Drosophila melanogaster: one gene and its partners. The protein of the gene in region 1 interacts with the protein of each later gene in a pairwise test. Each region holds a gene or a part of one and is shown on either strand. Other genes may lie near its edges. The genes, in order: CG14401, Prip, CG17985 and CG42288.

The links.
Region 2: the proteins of CG14401 (region 1) and Prip interact in a two-hybrid assay, tested with the Drosophila melanogaster proteins (one large-scale study listed by BioGRID).
Region 3: the proteins of CG14401 (region 1) and CG17985 interact in a two-hybrid assay, tested with the Drosophila melanogaster proteins (one large-scale study listed by BioGRID).
Region 4: the proteins of CG14401 (region 1) and CG42288 interact in a two-hybrid assay, tested with the Drosophila melanogaster proteins (one large-scale study listed by BioGRID).

The regions. Positions count from the first base shown.
Region 1 is NT_033779.5:20,868,236-20,871,991, forward strand, and holds CG14401 (uncharacterized protein), read left to right. Parts: upstream 1-1,618; 5' UTR 1,619-1,898; coding exon 1,899-2,112; intron 2,113-2,366; coding exon 2,367-2,525; coding exon of another isoform or gene 2,526-2,537; intron 2,538-2,596; coding exon 2,597-2,820; 3' UTR 2,821-3,237; downstream 3,238-3,756. Other genes in the region: CG31675 (uncharacterized protein), read left to right, coding at 116-289, 882-1,102.
Region 2 is NT_033778.4:11,434,524-11,442,255, reverse strand, and holds Prip (prip), read right to left. Parts: upstream 6,014-7,732; 5' UTR 5,834-6,013; intron 2,459-5,833; 5' UTR 2,424-2,458; coding exon 2,388-2,423; intron 2,287-2,387; coding exon 2,131-2,286; intron 2,070-2,130; coding exon 1,926-2,069; intron 1,189-1,925; coding exon 766-1,188; coding exon of another isoform or gene 718-765; exon of another isoform or gene 636-717; intron 607-635; coding exon 553-606; 3' UTR 516-552; coding exon of another isoform or gene 495-515; 3' UTR 384-494; intron 322-383; coding exon of another isoform or gene 286-321; 3' UTR 40-285; downstream 1-39.
Region 3 is NT_033778.4:7,651,101-7,657,022, forward strand, and holds CG17985 (uncharacterized protein), read right to left. Parts: upstream 4,203-5,922; 5' UTR 4,027-4,202; coding exon 4,013-4,026; exon of another isoform or gene 3,972-4,012; intron 3,938-3,971; coding exon 3,378-3,937; intron 2,855-3,377; exon of another isoform or gene 2,738-2,854; coding exon of another isoform or gene 1,436-2,737; exon of another isoform or gene 1,340-1,435; intron 1,254-1,339; coding exon 1,012-1,253; 3' UTR 525-1,011; downstream 1-524. Other genes in the region: Rpt1 (regulatory particle triple-A ATPase 1), read right to left, coding at 1,436-2,737; CG30491 (uncharacterized protein), read left to right, coding at 4,320-4,405, 4,471-4,636, 4,694-4,791, 4,844-5,000, 5,056-5,315, 5,372-5,600.
Region 4 is NT_033778.4:14,089,021-14,092,327, forward strand, and holds CG42288 (uncharacterized protein), read left to right. Parts: upstream 1-2,010; 5' UTR 2,011-2,088; coding exon 2,089-2,355; intron 2,356-2,427; coding exon 2,428-2,551; intron 2,552-2,615; coding exon 2,616-2,707; 3' UTR 2,708-2,794; downstream 2,795-3,307. Other genes in the region: prosap, read right to left, coding at 2,973-3,140; CG42287 (uncharacterized protein), read left to right, coding at 1,356-1,577, 1,637-1,772, 1,836-1,915.

The DNA of each region.
Region 1 (3,756 bases):
TTGTACTTTGCTTTGCGAGTTCTGCGTTTGCCGCGACCTGTCGGCTGTCCCCGCCTGATCTCATTTCTGCCATAAATAAGACGCGTCTCTGGTCTTCCCATCCCAATGCCACTAGCTTACGCCATCAAGTGCTATGCCTGCGAATCCGTCTACGAGGCTAGTTGCGGCGACGACTTCGAAGTCGAGAACCATTTTAAATACGACTGCGCCTTCATTGCTCCTCCGCGATTCCTGGAGAACGATCTGCTCAGCGTGAATGCCACGGCCTGTTTGAAACGGGTATTCAAGGGTGAGTTTAAACGAATATGTTTCTCAAAACACGTTCCTACGGATTTGAAGCCTTGCTAGGATAGTAACTTTAATAGTTATGAATCAATAGGTATAGTAAAAAGAAAAGAAAGTTTGAAATATAAGATTAAAAAGTGGATATATCGTAATTCACCAAAAATGTATCTATCCACCAGATATTTTTTTAAAGTAATTGTTCATTAATTACAAATACAGTCCGATTAGCAGCGGACAAAAAAAGTGTGTTCCGAAAGGTAAATGTCTGTATACTCATTAAACATTCGCAATGTTGTCCGTCCGAGATTTGTATTTACTCTTCAGATAATAATTTCTTTAATGATTTGTGACGCAAATCAAAACAAATAAAATTAATTATGTGAAACAGTCATACATACATTCATAGACATACGTGCATATACGGACAGCTGTGACCTTATTTCAGAAGAATCTCGTAGACTTTCCAACAATCTCTTGATATTTTGGACAATACGTACACATTTCGTATAAGCCCATTAAAGACGGACAATAAAAAATGTGTTTATTTACGATAAGTCAGCCCGAAAGTAGACTAACCCAATGTTTTGCCTCTGCAGAAAACGGCGTGCGTAAGATCGTCAGAGGCTGCTACTTCGGCGAGGTAAATGCCACCGATGTGTGGTGCAAAATGGACCCCACCCTGTCGGCGGTGCAGAACTCAAGTTGTCATGTGTGCGACAGCGAGAACTACTGCAACGGATCGGAAAATCATCCAGTGGATAAATGGAAAATCTTCGGCAGTCTGGTCTTGTTTCTCTTGGCAACTCAACTACTCTGAGGCGACAGGAGACGAAGTGGAAATGTGGAAATGTGGAGCGTGAAATGAACATTAAAAGGCACAGTAGCTTAAGTAAACCTAGTTCAATTTAGATGTATTCCCAAGGCCCAGGACTATCAATTAGTAAAGCCCACATTAGTAGAGCACACCATCCACAAAACCGTTTAGCCAAATCTGCCCGGCCCACTGTATTAATGGCTAATCAACGCCGAACATGGCGTATGAGCAACATCAGCACACCGAAATGAGCCGAAAAGCTGGCAAACAAATTTCGAACGATCCAAATACAAACTAATAAAAACTAATTTTACACAGAATGCCAAATTGTTTATTTGTTCAAATGCCACTAATGAACCTTGCCTGAAATAAATGGATTGGCGAGGAAAGGGCAAAGGGAATGGCAGGGCAGGGTAGGGCAAGGCAGAGCACGATGTCAACACGCATTGGCCAGGGAAAAGCCAACGATGGAGAAGTGAAAATGTGAAAAAATCTGTTATGAAAATCAAATTCACATTCTGAATGCGATTGTTCGCACGTTCAGTTCAGTTTCTGTTTAGTTCAGTCGCGTGTGTGCATCGCTTCGAGTCGGTGGTCGGTGGTCGGTGGTCGGTGGTCGTTGGTCGGCGGCTTGTGGCTATATAGCGCATCTATCATGTGATTAAAATCGGTCCGGCAACCGAGAAGACAACATCTGTATTCGCGCACGTATCGGCATCGCCAAGCTATAGCTATAGCCATACTGACTCACCGCGACCGCCGGACGACAGTGGAATCAACTGTTTTCGGGGGCGGTACGATGGCGATGATGGCAGCGCTTGCCTCGCTCTTTCTGCTCGTCACGCTGGCCAGCTCAGGTGAGATTCTCGATTCGCGCCCGCCACTCATCACATTCCTGCCCCGAAATTGTAGTTCATATTTTGAAATATCTCAGAAGCAGAAGACTGTCAACACGATTTATTGCGAATCAGTGAATTTAGGGTTTTACCGACTGTTTTGCGGGAAACTGTTCAGTAAAGAAAAACATATAAACAGCTTTCTTTGTTTATTTCATTGTTTACGTATAGAGTCTAAAAAGTTCAAGAATTATATTACAAATTTTAATTAACTTACATCTGAAAAGAAATTAACGTTTTGGAACATTAAGAATGGTTTTAAAGCTAATTGTTTACTTTAAGATAAAGATAAGGTCTACCAAAATGCTCATCCATTGTTTTCCTTTCTGTGCACTCTCGTGGACACACATTTTTACGGATGTCGTCATCAGCCCGTGCCATTACCTGCTACGAATGTGATTCCGTCAATAATCCAGGGTGTGGGGAGCGATTTGTGGGCGATGACATATCCACGACGGATTGCGATGTGGTGGCGAACATGCGATCCCTGGGAGCGGAGGCCACTTGCCTTACCAAGTACCATGAGGGAAGTGAGTATACGAGTATGGTTTCTGGAAAATATGTCAAGGAAATCCCTTATAAAATGACTCACTTTTCGCAGTGCCAGGAGACACGCGCTTCGTGAGGCGCTCCTGTTACTTTGGCGATGCCTCCCCAATAGGCGTCAGTTGCGACGATGGACCAGATCCTGTGGTGCCCTTTATGAACTTCCTCGGCTGCACACTGTGCGATACGGATTTGTGCAACGCAGCCGCTGGATTATCCACACTACCCTTGGTCATTGCCCTTTCGATACTCGGACTGCTTGTCCTACTGGCGACCTAAGGAAGATGAGTCGCGTGGAACGGCGGCGGTCGTATTTCAATGTTTCCTATTAAAAGTAATATACTCCAGTATTGTATAAAAGATTGTTGTTTTCTTGGTCGACTAACTAACATGACTTCTTATACTCATGCAAAGGGCGCAGAACAAGAACGACCCAAAGTTTATCCTTATATTCTTAATTTTCTAAGGCAAATGGCTTAAGTTATAAAAAGCCTACTGAATATGTAATAAATTTAACTTAAAGCCCCTAGAAGAATGAAATAGAAGCAAATATTTTTTAATTTTTATTTTATTTGATTTTCTTTCCATTGTTTTTATACATCCACTAAAATGATTTAACATACATATATATTTATATAATTATACTTGTTTGATTTAATATAATTTATTGAATAAAATTTACTCGTTTCCTACTCTACTAGCGTGTGTATGTAAGTATGTGTATGTGTGTATTGCAATTAGGATCATTAATTACAAAATATTCATAAAATAAATTAAAATAACACTTTCAAATCGATACACACAATTTCTGTTTCAATATCTAGTCCATTGATTTCTTGATCGTCAAACAATTCTAGTTTTACATTTATTTCCAGTTTATAGCATAAATTATTTTATGTAGGCAAACAGATAACATCTTTGCTTATTATCTTAATGGGTTTAGCTGCGGATTATATTCATAACACTTCTGGGCTACACATAAATAACATTCAAATATAAATATATGGATATTTATCAAGATATTGTATATAAACTACACATTGAGAACAATTCAGATAGAAAACAATTTATGTACAAAAGATTGTGTTTGTTTTTGCTTCACCAATACTGTCCATGCTGGCGTTGTCCGGCGGAATCTCTACGATCCCAGCGAGGACCACTGCCGCGTCAATGCCACAAACAATCGTCGTCCATCTTTCCGCGTCTTAAAGTCTA
Region 2 (7,732 bases), on another chromosome or scaffold:
TTATATTAAGATACAAAATCGATAAACACCAGTTTGTTTCAGTTAATGTTTTCCACTTTATTGTGAGCGCATGAGAGTACAAGTAATTTTGTTGTAGATTGCATTTTAGGGCAGCTTACACATTAAATATTAGTTAGTTAAAAATGAATTTTGCATGAATAAATACATAAATACACACGAACGTAGAAGAACACGACATGTTTATGTTAGACACTGAAATGAATGGATTAAACACACAGATTTCATCTGTATCCCTAGATTCGAGTCGCAAAGATTTCTTTATATCTAGGCGTAGTCACGGGCTCCCTCCAGTTTGCGCATCTGCAAGTAAATAAATTGCAATAATACAAAATTTAGTTAGCTAATTAAACAGGGATGCAAACCGATCGAAATGGCGGACGGGTTCGGTTGATAGGATTGAAGAGTTTCTAAACCAATCGTATTCGGTTCACAAAAGCGGTTTAGATTAGTTTTGCGTGCAGGTCGTAATATCTTTAGTATACGAATATCTGCTGCTAAAGCGATAAAACATAACACATTTAATAGTTATAGTTAAGCGAGATATGTATATGCCAAATGGTTCGGGTTGTGGTTCGGTTTGCATCCCTGAAATCAAGTAATTCGGGAGTATTTACAATGCAAGTGTGAGTGAGTGTTTGTGTGTGTGATGGGTGTGTGTGTGTGTGTGTGTGTGTAATGGGTGGGCGGAATCACGGATCAGTAGAAGGACTCCTCGCTCCAGGCGCTTATCAACCTGACTCTCACCTCGCGTTCATCGGCGTGCGTTCGGTACTTCTCGGATGCCTCGTTAACCTTTGGCACGGGCTTCGCCTCCAGGACCTGGGTGTAGAGCAGGGCGGCAGCCACGCCCCCCAGCACAGGTCCCACCCAGTATACCCAATGCGACGCCCAGATGTCGGTGGCAAAGGCGGTGCCCACGGTGCGAGCGGGATTCATGCTGGCCCCGGTGTAGCGGATGGTGCCCAAGTGACCCAGGGTCACCGCCATTCCGATGGCCAAGGGCGCCGTGTAGCGGGAATCGGGCTTGTGGGGATCACAGGCCCCAAAGACGACGAGCACCAGCAGGAGTCCCAGGAAGAACTCGATTCCCAGGCCCTGCAGCTCGGTGATATTGGGCGCCAGAGAGGTGTGACCCAGGCCATTGTAATAGTCCTGATCGATGAGAATCTAATGTGTTGGTATAAAAAAAATATTTATATATAGATAGATAGATAGATTAGATTAGATATCTTAATCTTAAAAATAAATATAGCTCTTAGTTTTGTTGAGTATGTAAAAATACTTTAAACTATTAGATTTTAAGTTGATTCATTGAACTGGTGATTTCTACTAAATCATTTGTTTTTTAAAATGTGTAGTTTTTAATACAAAATAAAACCGAAAAATACGAGTATTTAATCAAAGTACTTTCTTGACATTGGCGTACCCGTATCATTTATCCACTCAACGAAAGAAAGTAATGGTCAAAACACAAGGCATTTTTAACCGCAACCGGATGTGAGGCAATCACAATAATAAACTTAATAACATGTATGTACATATGTGTCTCAGTGTGTTATTTTAAGAAAGCGAGATAAGCTCAAAAGCATTGCAAACAATCATCTTACAACGAGTAAGTATTTATATTTATTATTATTTATACATTTTTTTAATTGACTACATTTTGGATTTGATTTTGAAATCTGGCAGTTCTGATTGAGACACTTACAAGCCAAATGACTTTTCTTTGGCAATGCTGTTTTGTAGATATACCATAGAAGTAAAGATAGGTTAGATTTTTTTGTCATAATGACGACCTCTATATAATTGATGATGATGATATAAGAAATAGTGGAATCTGATGAGTATTTTGTTTTAATAATTTCACTCAGATGTATGTAATAATTTATGTGTGTAATGCCTACCTTAACCGCTGCAGTTCCGGCAATTGCACCCAAGCACTGGAAAACCACATAGAAAAAGGCTCTGATCAAGCTAATTCGTCCTGCGACCAACATTCCAGCGGTAACGGCAGGATTCACATGACCACCACTCAAGTGGCCCACAATCTGCAAGGATATATAGTTGAATATGGGTATGAATAATGTCGTAGATTAACGAGCCACCCACCGTGATGGCCATGAAGATAGCCAGGCCAAAAGCCAAGGCCTTGAAGGTGCCATCCTCAATTTGGGTGCATGCGCCGCAGGCAAAGAAATTGAGGATCAAATTGCCAAGGAATTCTCCAATCAAGGCCTGCCACAATCGCAGCTCCTTGGATTTGAGCTAGAAGACAAATTAATAAGTAAAGTAGCATTATTTAATGATATTTTTAATAACTGACTGGTATTTCGATTAAACTTTGTCTTTGTATGATTTGCACTCACCTCATTGAGACCCAGTGAGTATTCGAATTTTCCCATCTTCTTCGCTTCACTTTTCAACTAAAACTGACGGACTGAAAAAAAAGACCAACGGAAATATCAGTGAACGATGTCTGGTAGTTAATGCAAATGGCAATCCAAAATGCAAATGGAAATGTGTTTGAAAATGGAAGTGGACAATTGTCCGACTTCAGCAGGTATTTAGCCACTTTTATCACTCATTTAAGGTGCGATATTGTTTTGGCCTTTGGTGACAGTTTTGACAATCTGCATTTCCGCTGCAATTTCCGTCACGATGCCTAATTGGCCGACACTTCTGTCTGGTCTTCAATTGGAAAAGTCTAGGGGTTTTCATTTAACTCAAGGCTTGTGTCCCAAAAATTCTTAATCTACGTTTATTTATTAAATGCTCAACTTTAGCACTTGTCATTAAAAGTGGGTAACTGGAGGCAGCCAGTGGGTAACTGGGCAATCCTCCTCTCAACTCGACGACTGCCAGCTTATCAGCAATTGCAGCTGCATGTGAGAATATATATAAAACAAACAAAGTGTATAATATTTAATTGGCAACGGGTCATAAAAACGATGTAAATATTTGAGCACAACGCCGTCAGGAGTGAACAGAACTCGCAATTGAGTTTTTAACCGGCAGTTTTTGTAGCCGCGGGGGGATTAGGCCTGGTTTTTTTTTAGAGTGTTCTAGAGTGGCATCAGTGGAAAGCGTTTGCTTTGCTCTTCTTATTTGGCGCAACGCGGTCACGAACAGGCCCAAAAATGGGCTAAGACTTGTTGGCCATGCCCCCACACATCAAGAACATCGAGAGCTTTAAAAATACATACGAGTATGTATGTATAAAATAATTTATATTGCATATATCATTTCATTTGGTAATCAATCAGTGAGCGCTCAATGTTAATTCCCATTTTCTATGCTCGCAAAGCATTCAAGTTGTTCATCACTTCGAGTATTTACTTTTCTAATGCAATCTTAATGAATTTCGTGTTTCATTTGCGTCATCTACGAGCATGAGCCCCATATCGATATCAGCCAATAGACTCAAGTGCTCTGATATGAAAAAGCGAGTTCTATTCCTTAATTGAGGTGCAGGGGGTGCGCTGGATGATCAAATAGTAATTGAGTTGACTTAAGGTTGGGCCCACGGATAAGTGGAATGCCTTGCCATAGAGCGAAAATCTACCCACACAACAATTTCCATTGACTGGAGGTTTGAGGAAAACGGGGTAAAAACCTGAGAGTTTCAATATTTGTCATCGACCGTTAATCATGCATTGTGAAAACGGATTCAACAATTTGAGCATGTAATTATAATCTTTATTAGTTCCTATGAAATGCTTTAATTGGCCAGCTACTAACTGACATTCCGTAGTGCGGATTCACAGGTGCTGATTATCACTTTGGTTGCAGCTAATGAGAATGGTTAAATGGTGTATGTACAACCACAAGGTGTTGGGTCCTCGAATGAAAAATCTAAGCAATTAATCGGCTCTGATTAAAGTTTGCTTTGCGATTATTTCGGGCCGCAATTTATGGATGATAAGCTTGTTTTATAATTGGAAACCCAATATGCCCCTCACCAATTCTGGAATTTTCAATAGCGCGCCAACAAATGTGGCTAATTGCCAGTGTACAAGTGGGTCCGTGCCAATTCGCATAATATCCGAACAATAAAGTAAAAGTTTGCTCAACAAATTAGCACAAACGGCGAGAACAAAATCCACATAATTCACACATATTTTCGCACACACAACAAAGTCGAATGCATTTCAACGCATTTCGTTCTGATTTTCGTCATTCGAGGCATTTTTGTGACTTTCGAAACGTGTATGAACAAGGGGTTCATGAACTTGAACTCTCGCCGAATTGAACCGAGGGGCGGCTAAAAATGTGTTCCAATAAAATTTAATTATATGCAAATATTGAAGAATGTCGTTAAGAAAAATCGCCGCATACGCAGACATTCGTCATTAATTTAAAAACATGCCGATAACACGGGTATAAATCTCCCGTTTCTGAAGCTGATGAGCTAATATCTTTGGCTTTGCTTTCTTGATGTATTTTTATGGACTCTAAAAGCGAGTATACAAATTATCTTGACCACTTTTCAAGTGTTTTCGGTACTATTGCCGTTTTGAGTAGCATTTATTGGCATCAAAGTAATTACCAATATGGCAGTCACATGATCTCTAACTATTTTAGTGTTTTTTGAAAAAGTTAAGGGACAACAATGTAATGCAGACTATTAAAGCTTAGGAACTAGCTGTTAACTTTGCCTGAAATCAGGGAACTGGACTTCATATTCATTGTTTTTGAACTATTGTATCTGGCCTAGCTCCAATTGCGTTCGTCGCCTGATGGCATTTGGCGATATAGACGTTTGCAATTGTTTGCCGCAACTTTGTCACTTAAAAAGCCATAAAACTTACTTAAGCCCTAAATTTGTATGCAACGCCGAACGTGGGAGGGGCAGGAGCGATAAAAGTGGGGGGAAACCACACACACACAGAGGCAATTGCAAAGTTAATAGCCCAAACTCCCACACGTGTTCGGGGCCACAGTGAAGCCAGGCTTCTGATGGACATTCTTCACTTAAATTACCAAATCAGAGACCAGAAAATTGCTGCGGTCAACCCATCAATCACAAGTGTCAGATATGAAGCGAACTGAATGCCCCAAGCTCTGTAAGACCCATTACCATATCATCGGATCATGGCATTGCCGTACCTAAATAACAATTAGCCAATGAACACAATACCAAAACATATAGAAATCTTAAAAGCTTAAACAGATCGCACGACCGCATCGTTTCACGCAACGCTGGTTTCAAAATGAAAAGCACAATGAAATGTCCCAAATGTATGAATTTTCAAATACACATCTTTTGGCAAGAATAACATTTTATATTCGCGGCTTTTAATTACTCAGAATCGTGCTGGCGGTCAAAAGTAAAAATTGTACATAAATTGTTATATTTTTACGATTGACATGCGGGGGCGGTCTCACAAAATTCCAAAAATCATAACAAGAGGAAAACAGATCAAAGTAGATTTGATAAATGGCGAAGTAAGGGGTTAGAAAAAAATGCAAAACGGTATTACAGCATTAGTTTCGGTGCACAGGGAGAAACTTTAGTTACTTTGAATTATACTTGCTTAACTTAAATTATTAAATTTGTCACTATTTAGCTATATAAGCAATTACATTTCATTAGTTTATATTAAACTCAAAAACTAAATATAAATAAATCGATTACAAGCTTATAAATACACCATTAACAGCATAATATTGCAGGATAACTGATTTGATTAGATCTAAACTTAATTAAAAACATTAATAATACACATATGTTGAAATATTCTCTTTTTGATATGCCCATTTAAAGTTTATGTACTTTATGCATTTTCAAGATCACTTTCAATTAGAAGTTTACCTTGTTTTGCTATTAGCTCACTTTGGCACCTTTGCCACCTGCTTACGAACTCGACTTAACGGCAACAACAACAGCTAACACCTTAACTTGCACTTAACAAATATTTAATTCAATTCGGCAGGAATTGTTAGCTCACTCGAGGAGTGATCCGCGCACTTTGACTCGACGACAAAAACTGCGCGACCGCATTTGGCAGCAAAAAGCCAAAGGCACCAAAAACGATGGCGCAGAAAGAGCGCGATTTATAAAGAGAGAGGGGCAGAGAGATAAATTCATGCGAAGAGCGCACATTTATATTAATTAAATTATAAAAAACTAAATAATGTAATTATGCGTATTAACTAAATGTTTATATAAATGTGTAACTAATTATTAAAAACAAATTAGTTTTTATGAGCTTTTATGTTTACATTCTATACGCTTTAATATAAGCTTTATGCGTAAGTATAAGAAAGTTAATCAGAGAACTTATTCGTTTATAGATATATATATCAAATTCTTCATCGATTTAATTTAATTGCACTATCCAAAGTTTTGAAAGGGAATGAATTCGAAATTGTTTAGCTGCGCGGGCGCACCGCTTAAAAACACAACATGCCAGGCACCGAAACTCACCACACCCCACACGCGTCAGCCAAGACACAAACCATGCAAAAATATTAAATTGAAAATTCCGACCAATCAGTAAATTTATGGACTGCAAATAGTTATTTAGGGGTAATATTTACACCCACCCATCATTCACGTCAGACAGTGACGCTTGCAGAAAAGTTTCCGTTGCTTTTCGGTGTTCTTATCAGAGAAATCGGCCCAGAAATCATGTCTTCACAAACAATTTCTTTAATTAATTTAGTGTACTCCAAGCAGAGAATACCGAACTTTTCCATGACATTTTGACGTAAAATCAAATTCACTTTATCTTTATGGGTGTTGTCTTCGAAGTATATTTGCCATTTTAAATTAATAACCGCAAAATCGCAGATCACAAATCCAAGCACACTTTTATGAGGCCCTCATAAATGCGTATAATCACAATTTTATGACTGTGAGCTTGGTGTAAAATAAAGTGTAATCGTATAAGTCAAATATAAGAGTAGAAATGATCGAGATAGTACACCGAAAACAACGTAGGCACACTTTGTATGTATAGTTTGCTTACATTATGGTCTGAAACTGTTCGACCTTTATATATAACATTATTTTTATTATTATAAACTATTTTATTTTATTTTAATTTTATTTTCATTATTATCATAATCATAAAATGGCTAATTATTAGGGTAAATTCGCCAAAAAGTGTGTAATATTTAAAATTATATTGTGTGTAGACGAGTCTGAAAAGGTCATTCCTGGTTTTAAAGTTAATGTCACGTCTTTAGACTAGCGAATTTGGCTTAGATTAAAAATACCACTTAGCTTTATCTTAAGGTTTCCTGATTAGAAACATTATAGTATAGGCTATGTGTACTTCACTATTAGTTATAGATAATAACGGGTTTAATACTGATAACAAGTTAAATAAGAATAAGGCGGTTGAATGCAACACGTGCTGATACGGGTACAAAAATACTAATACACTTCACTCCGAATCGGATTGATAGAAACCTCCTAGTTAATTGTAATGATCATTCGCATTCTAAACTGACAAGCGTTGTAGTTATTTATTTATAGAGTTTCTCTTTTATTCAACATATTATTTTCTTATGTTACATTTCTTAAATCATAGTTACTGAAATTTTATAGCTTAACAAAGAATAGTTAATTATGTAAATTTTCGGATGATTAATTAGTGCGTTTATCGAAAACGACGACATTTTGTGATTCAACTACATGTGCTCAGCCCAGTTTTATCAAAAATATGCCTGGGAGAAACAAACAAGTATAAATCATATACGAAAC
Region 3 (5,922 bases), on another chromosome or scaffold:
TAAGCCGAACACGTCACTGGCCAAGCGGCACAAACTGGAGCACGCCGTCTCCATGGCAGAAGTAGCCGATGAGTCTACGATCGCCTCGGACTTATCATCACTCGAAACGTTAGCTCTTTAGAGAACCTTGGTCGAGCTATTACTATTCTACATTTCATCTCATTTCAGGGATCCTTCTATACATTCGGAGGCCACTCCACCTATAGCCTCACCGGCGAGTCCTGTGCCCGTGCGCCACGGATTCCTCCGGAGCAATATTGCTTTCTTTGAGAATTTAAAGTTCAAGTGAATATGCGAATACAGTCTTGTTGGGTGCGACCCTTAGTTGATCTTCCCGGAGGGGAAAATTTACGACAATGGCAAAGCACCAATCCGGCCATAATCCAAACCAAATCTTCGCCAAATACCATGTGCCATGGCCTCCATTTCCCAGTCGAAACATCACGGAAAAAAAGTACTTAAGTTCAGTTGGCCGTTAGCATGCGCCATTGTTAATTGTAGTTCGTATTTAGTATTACATAATTCTTATATCCATGGATACTATTTATTTAGCTCTAAGATATGTATTACGTACTTTTTTGGCGTAAGAGAAACTATCCCAACTTCAGCTGAATAATGTTACACCTTACCCGTACTATTGTAGTTTAAATGTTACATAATTGTACTCAATAAAACATATAGAAAAGCAAAACGGCGGGGTTACGATTTATATTCACAGCACAATCGGATCTTAGAATCCTGCAATTGGTGCTGCCAGAAGTTATGTGGCGCATAGACAAGCCTATGCATCTGGGAAGCACCCAAATCGTGGTAATTTAAAAGTTCTGTCGACAAAGACCTTATTTTTTTTATCAAGAGTCAATACAAAGTTACGCGCATAGGTATAAAAATAAATTCCGTCGCCTGGGGTTGCATTTGAAATGCGCCAGGCTCATCTGAGAGATTGACAGGGTGCCGGGTGAGGGGGTGCCGTTTGGAATGATGACCACTTCGGGTGCAGACATTACCCAACTACTGGGCACTATGGTTGTGATGTGGATGCTCTGCTAGGTAGATGACGTAGACCAAGGGTATGACGACACACAAGGCGAGTATGAAGATCAGCAGACATATCCAAGACAAGTCGCAGTCCGATCCGGACCAGTCGATGGCACTCAAAGAGGGTCCAGGGATGGGACGCACTAGCGGAGCGTGCCTGTCCACCATGTGGTTAAGCAGAGCGGCATTTTCCTCGTAGGGTTGCTCCATATTGGCTGTAGACAAAGTTAAGAGATCATGATTACGCAATTAAAAGACATTGCAAACAAGATTTATAAAATATATAAAACACCTCAGTTTTCAGTTGGTGGAGGTATAGATTTCGCTTTATTTAATAAATTGCCAGCTGCAGTGTTACAGTTTGCAGAGGATACAGAATAGTGCCAATAAATGTAACTTAGTTGTAGGTCATGTAGCGTGGAGTGGCGCTGAACTTGGCGTAGCTCTTGATAACCTTCTTGACGGCTTCGAGGAAATCCTTCTCTGTGGCCACCTTGCGACGCGCCCGAATGGCGAACATGCCCGCTTCCGTGCATACTGACCGGATCTCAGCACCAGTCGAGTTGGGACATAGACGCGCCAGCAGATCGAAGCGAATATCTCGCTCCACGGACATGGAGCGGGCGTGAATCTTAAAGATGTGCGAGCGACCGTCCTGGTCAGGCAGGCCGAACTCCACCTTTCGGTCCAGACGACCGGGACGCATGAGCGCCGGATCCAACGTGTCGGGTCGGTTGGTGGCCATCAGCACCTTGATATTTCCGCGCGGATCGAAGCCATCCAGTTGGTTAATCAGCTCCAACATGGTGCGCTGCACCTCGTTGTCGCCGCCGGCCCCATCGTCGAATCGGGCACCACCGATAGCATCAATTTCGTCGAAGAAGATGAGACAAGCCTTTTTGGAACGCGCCATTTCGAAGAGCTCGCGCACCATACGAGCGCCCTCACCCACGTACTTTTGCACCAGCTCAGAGCCAATGACGCGGATAAAGCAAGCGTCCGTGCGGTTGGCAACGGCGCGGGCACACAGGGTCTTTCCCGTTCCCGGTGGGCCAAACAGTAGCACACCTTTGGGCGGCTCAATACCCAGATTGACGAACTTTTCCGGGTGCAGCAGTGGCGTCTCCACCACCTCGCGCAGCTTTTCGATTTGTTCCTTGCAGCCGCCCACATCGCTGTAGGTGACGTCCGGCTTGTCCTCAACCTGCATCATGGTAACCGTAGGATCAATCTTGGGAGGCAGCGGAATGTGGATCTGGTACTTGTTGCGGTCGACACCCACACGCATTCCCTCTTCTATGTCAGTAGGGGCCACCGAGTCAGCTAGGTCCACCACGAACTTGGCGAACTGCTTAACATTGATGATATACTTGGGGTCGTCGGAATCCGCGTTGATGATCTTGGTGCATCGGGCAACCTGCAGCGGTTGCTCGTTTTGCAGGATCTGCTTGTCGGCGGCCAAATCCCAGAGCGCTGGTGGCGCCAGACCCGTGTCGCTTTCCTTGATTCCAGTCAGCTCGTTCACCTGCTTCACAGCCTTTTGAATGTCCTCCTCGATGCTCTTGATGGATTTGTGATACTGGCTCTGCCCATAAGTCTTTAGAAGCTCAATGTCGCCTTCGTCGAGGGACTTGATCTCCTTGTCCTCCTTCTCATCGTGCTTCACCTTGCGCTGGTCGTCGCCCAGGTAGTCCGGCATCTTATTCGATTGCAATTGTACGGTTTTTAAGGCAAAAAATGAGTTTATGCGATGTTTTCCTTTTGTTTTACGGCGAGAATGACTGAACAATTTGGCATAGAGATGGGAGAAGCACCGCTAGCGCTATCGACGAATCGATACATGCTTTCCCAACACTGACTTTAACACTGGGAACTATCGATGTGTAGCCACTTTTAACTTCTACTGTTAAAATACAAATCTTAAACTTTTCCCAAAATTATTTTATGGTATTTCAATTGGAAATATACTAATTAGTAACTGGAGCTTAAATTTTTAACACATAAAATGTCTAAATGCTGTTATATTTCTTATCTTATCTTAGAGCATGTTGCGAATTTCCATGCATGTGTTTTAGTTCAAAATTGGTAGATATTTGAATTGAAATAGATAAGAAACTTTGTTATTTTTAAAGTACTGATATTGCTTGATTGATAAGTAAACATACATTCTGCACCCTTTACCTTACCTGTACTTTTATTTTTAAATTAAATAATATATATGTACACTCGCACTGAAATCAGCACTGACCTTTCTTCACCAACAGTGAAAGTATTTCAGAAATTTTTAAAACCGCGGCGAACTGTGGGCTTTCATTCCCAACTGCATCTTCTGTACTCACCTTCGTCATTCGGCGCACCCTGGGCTCCCTCGTAGAATTGTCCAGCAGCTCTGCTCGTCGATGGTTTCTCGTGATCCACGGCGCCTGAAGCATTTACCGCCGCCACCAGGAGTCGCTCATCCAGCATTTGCCGCGCATCCTCGAGGGGATTGCGTTCGGGAGCTGGTTCCCGCTCAATATTGTGTCTAGGACTGTTGTTCCCGCTGCGGTGGACCGCAGGAAGGGCTTCGAGGCCCCCGTTGCCCAGCAGGACGTTGTGCACTGTAACCGGAATGCGAATAACCCGATGTGCGTGGATTTCATTTTCGCGGTCGATCTTGTTCAGGCGCTTGATGTCCGCCACAGAGGAGTGAAAGCGCAGGGCCAGCGCCTGGAGTGTGTCTCCCTCTTGGACCTTTACCTCCAGAGTGTTCTCGTAGCGGCCGAGTCGGGCGTGGCCATTGGGCCTCCTGGCCAGAGGGAGCAGATCTTCGAACTCGTCGTCATCGTAGGCGGGACGGGCAAAGATGTCTTCCACGTCGTCGGGGCCGATTTCTTCCTGATTGTGTTGTTGTTGGCGCCTGAAGATGAGGGGAGAACTCCGATCACATTCGGATCTCTTGGAAAAAGCAACAGTCGAGTTGGCGCTGACTTACGCATTGCGACGCATTGTTTTCCTGCTTGCCTAGTCGGGATTTCCTGGCCCAGATCTCAACTACGTTCCTTCCCTCGATCAAATCGCACGTCGTTGTTTAGCTCAAGCCAGTTAATTAACGCAATTAGATTATTTACGTGTAAAGTTTGTTCTAAGCAGCAGCCCACGAACAACAACAAAGGGAAAGCTCCGTCACAGATGACCGAAAATATCGATAGGACTCTGTTAACGAGCGCTGTTAGCCTTAACAGGGTAAACACAGCTGTTTTCGTTTATTAGCTAATTTGTATATTTTTTGAGTTCCTAAAATGTCACTATTTGCGTTTCTCAAGAGCCGCACTGCGTTCTGGCTGAGCTTCACCGGCACGACGACGGGACTGGCCTTCTTCGTGAAGTGAGTGATCTGCTTCTCACACAGAATTCCCTTGTTTTGACTACACATTTTATACCGCCTCACAGGGATCTTATGCAAGGCGGTCAGTTCACCAAAGAAACCAATGAGACCGGCAAGGTGTTTATTGTCACCGGTGCCAACACGGGGATCGGCAAGGAGACGGTGAGAGAGATTGCGAAGCGAGGTGGCACCGTCTACATGGCATGCAGAAACCTAAAGAAATGTGAGGAGGTACGATCTTTATTGAGATAATTTCCTAAAACACGACTAAATACTTCTCGCGTGCAGGCTCGCGAGGAAATCGTGCTGGAAACGAAGAACAAATATGTGTACTGCCGGCAATGTGACCTGGCTTCCCAGGAGTCCATCCGTCACTTTGTTGCCGCGTAAGTCTACCTAAGGCCTAAGTTGTGTTTATTCCGCAATCCATCTCCGCAGCTTCAAGAGGGAACAGGAGCACCTGCACGTACTGATCAACAACGCCGGTGTTATGCGCTGTCCCAGATCTCTCACCTCAGATGGCATCGAACTTCAGCTGGGGGTTAATCACATGGGTCATTTCCTGCTTACCAATTTACTGTTGGATCTACTCAAGGTACCACACAGCTTTACTAGATCTTAAATCTGATTAATAACCATTTTATTCCTAGAAATCCTCACCCAGTCGGATTGTAAATGTATCCAGTTTGGCACACACTCGAGGAGAAATAAACACTGGCGATCTGAACAGTGACAAATCCTACGATGAAGGCAAGGCCTACAGCCAGAGCAAGTTGGCCAATGTACTCTTCACAAGGGAGTTGGCCAAACGATTAGAGGGCACCAACGTAACGGCGAATGCCCTGCATCCAGGTGTGGTGGACACAGAAATAATCAGGCACATGGGATTCTTCAATAATTTTTTTGCTGGGTTTGTAGAGAAGTAATGCCATTAAAACCTTTTTTACGAAATACTTATCTTTTCAGACTCTTTGTTAAGCCTTTGTTTTGGCCCTTTGTTAAGACTCCGAGAAATGGTGCTCAGACCTCGTTGTATGTTGCTCTGGATCCCGAGCTAGAAAAGGTGACAGGACAATACTTCAGCGACTGCAAACTGAAGGAAATGGCGCCGGCTGCCACCGACACCCAAACGGCAAAGTGGCTTTGGGCAGTCAGTGAAAAGTGGACGAAGCCAACGATGATTAAAATACAATAGTTCGTATTGTGAAATATGTTTCTGACAATCCCTCTGTTACTTCGCATAAATTTTCAGTTTCTTACAGTCTACACAATTCCACTTGTCTTGTTTTAGTTATTTTAACGTGGCCGACTAATAAGAGTTGAAAGCTCAGGGCTTGTGTGCGTTCAAACTTACGTACCCCGAAACCGGTTAGGGGCAATTTCTACATCATTTGTTTAAAATAGACGTGTATATCCATTACATTTTAACCCGAGCCTTCGGTCCAAAAGTTTAGGTTCATTTCGGCAGTATGCAACATTTTCGCTCTTTGTAAAGTTTGACGGTTTCGGCTTCTTGT
Region 4 (3,307 bases), on another chromosome or scaffold:
ACCAATGGATTAAGTTATTCCAATGATGTCATATTCTTTAGTTTGCAGCATGAACAACTTAATTAGCCCTTGCTATCTTTCAACAAAACACAAACAACATGCTTCCATAAACTTTAATCGCAATTCACATTGCATGCTTATGTAACTCAGGATATTATTCCCCACAAACAAATATCCCCAAAAAATGGTTAAAGCACGCTCAGCTTTCGGTTCCCACACAACCGATCAGAATTTACAACATAATTTACTAAGCTGCACGCTGACAGTGGAACCAGAGCGGCCACGCCCCCTTGCCAAAAAGCCAAAAACAAGGCAATGTCTGTCACTTGACGCGCTGAATTTGAATTGGCCGAAACGAAAACGGAACCGGCACGAAAGACCCGGCCATGCAATTAGCTGGAGGTCATTGTGTTCGGTTCAGCGAAGTTCATTTCAGTTCAGTTCAGTTCAGTTCGATTCGAATCGATACCAGTGTGATTTCAAATCCAGTTCGGTTTCAGTTTGGGTATCGCCCAGAGTTTCCGTTTGCAATTTTGCGGTTTCAATATTGAATTGGGCGAGGCCCCCGCATTGCATTTACGCTTGACAATGTTTCGACAGCAATTTGCTCAACAAATTGCGATTAAATGTATACAATTGATTGACCATTGTTTGGCTTTCATTAGCACAAAGGAGCGGGGAAGTGCCTTTCATTCGGTGAGTAATTTGACGGCATTATAAGGGCAAATAACCGCTGATCTTGACCCCCTGACCACGCATTTACTCATATTTCAAACTAAGTAACATATGTGAATATGTTAACACGTAGTTCTCCTAATCTGTTGGCCATTGAAAAACTAACCTTCCTTGTGACTGACACTTTTTTTTTGCCTCCCCTTGACAGACTGCCATTCAATTGTCAAATATCTTTGGATCTGCAGCGTCACGATTTCCAACTGGGCGCACGACCTCAGACATTGCAGTTGCCGATAAATTGCATTGAACTTCAAAAATTGAAACTTCACGAGGGCCATTTGGCAGCCATTCGAGGGCGGCTGAGGGGGCGTGGTCGTTTTTATGTTGTAAGGGCACGTGTCAGCCTTTGGCTGCATAAAAATTTCAATCAACAACATCTGTTGAAAAATTGCATTGCGATTCCACAGTAATTGGTTTTTTGTGTGATTCAATGCAAAATGCATTTAGTTTGATTGTGAATTTGTGTCTTTTAAGGATTTTGATCCTTAATCTTAGTGCAAGATTATTATTGATTCAAATATTAAATAACTAACGCAAAAATTTTACGATCAACTGTTCCTTGCATTCTGTTGTTTTGGGCGAAATTCATGTAAAAAAAAATCACAAATTTCTGTAGCGGCATGTTTTTTAAAAAGTGCTGCTTTTTCCTGCCCCTCAACGTGGGTTGCATAATCATTGGAGCCATCTTCATAACATTTCACGTTGGGGAGCTGATAACGCATTCGGATGACACCATTTTCATCAAGCAAGTGTCCCACAAATGGTGGGCACCCGTCATCATGTCTCCGATCCTGACAATTGGAACTCTGAGCTCTATACTCCTTGTGTATGCTGCTTCGAAGGTAAGAGATTCAATTGGTTTCTTTCAAGATTCTAATGCTTTATAACATTACAAATGCAGAGCAAGCGAGGCTTTGTCCTTATGTGGATTATCATCTATGCAATTATACTATCCCTATATTTCCTAATGGCCGTTGTCCAGTTGGCCAGGTCGAAACCTTCGCCGATTATATTGGCCGTTCAGGTGTTCATCATAGGTGGGTGTTGGCCATTTTTGATTGAATATGTCTGAATAATGTCTTGATTTTCATACCCCCTAGTTGGTCTCGTTTATTCCCTGCTAATAGTGCTGGCTTTTTATCGATATTTGAGCAGTGTGGATTCTGACGATTCAATTTGATGAGTTGTAAAATAAATGTTAAACTAACGTGTAACTGAATTTAACTGATCTAGTTTACTTCTTTCAGTGTGTCCCTTTTATACAAACTAGATTTTCAACAAATTTCAGTTTCTCAGGAAAGCTTTGAAAATTGTTGTTTAAAACTTGCAGTGCGGCTGAGGATCGGATCAATCATGGCCTGTCGCTGCAAATATCTGAAGCAGATCTTTACCAAGTGCTGCTACTGCTATTCCCTGCGTTTCGGTGTGCTGCTCTTCGGATGCATTTTTCTAACCTGGTTCATTTACATCACCATCGGCACCGGCTTCATGATGGAGTGCATCTTTCCGAACGAGTATCAGAGGTCCCTTATCCCAGCACCGGCGGCCCTCAAGGCCACCATGGTCTTCTCCTTCTTCGGCATCATAGTTTCGGCCATGCTCTGCCTGGGAGTGCACAATGTATGTGATCTGTCTATTATAAATATTCCCAATATATTTAGCATATGCTTATAATACCTCATAATTTTGTAGAACAACGAGATGCTCTTCCTGCCATTTTTGGTTTTCACACCCATTTGGATAATTGTGCACATTTTTGCCCTGACCGTTTACAGCTTTAATACCATCATCATCATCCTGACTGTCATCACAATGTGTGGGTACCCCCAATAATCATGAATCTAAAGCCTAAATTAAGTATACTATTTAATGTTTTATAGTACTTTTAGTGTATGCCTGGCTGGTGGTTTGGTCCTACTACATAGAACTGCTCTTCGCCTACGAAGATGAACTGGAAACCGGTTATGTGTAATAATAGTAATAATAATGATATTTACAAATTTTAGTATGTTGAGCAAGCATTTGATGTGCCTAATAAAATAATGCATGTAGGATACAGAAATACAGATCATAATTTCGCTTGAGCAGAACTCCATACTATGTGAAGTAGACCCCATTTCGGATGTACATATTTCTCCCCGTTTAGTGAGTATTTAGCGCACATGAGACATGCCCGTGCTCTATATACACCGAAAAGACAATGGGTATCGCAGTGGTAATGACAGTGACCGACTTACCTTCGGCAGCGAGGCGAGCACCTGCTGCTTGACATCCCAAACGAGCCGCTCCGATGGGAACTGCAGACACTTGTAGACATTCAGCTCCGGCACATGGATGCGCACCAGTAGCCATCCGTCCCGCGGCTCCGGCGGCGGCTCATCGTCAAACGCACCCGACCCGGACATGGCGTCCGTATTGGCCGGGTTCTGTTTGACTTTGGGCGTGGGTGGGTGGTATGTCGTAATTTTGACGGCTTTCTATCGCACGGTCCACGAAAAAAAAACGAAGCTACTCCCGCTCCACTGGGAGATCTCCTTCTAGCCGTTCTATTCGCTTAATTTGCTCTTTCCTT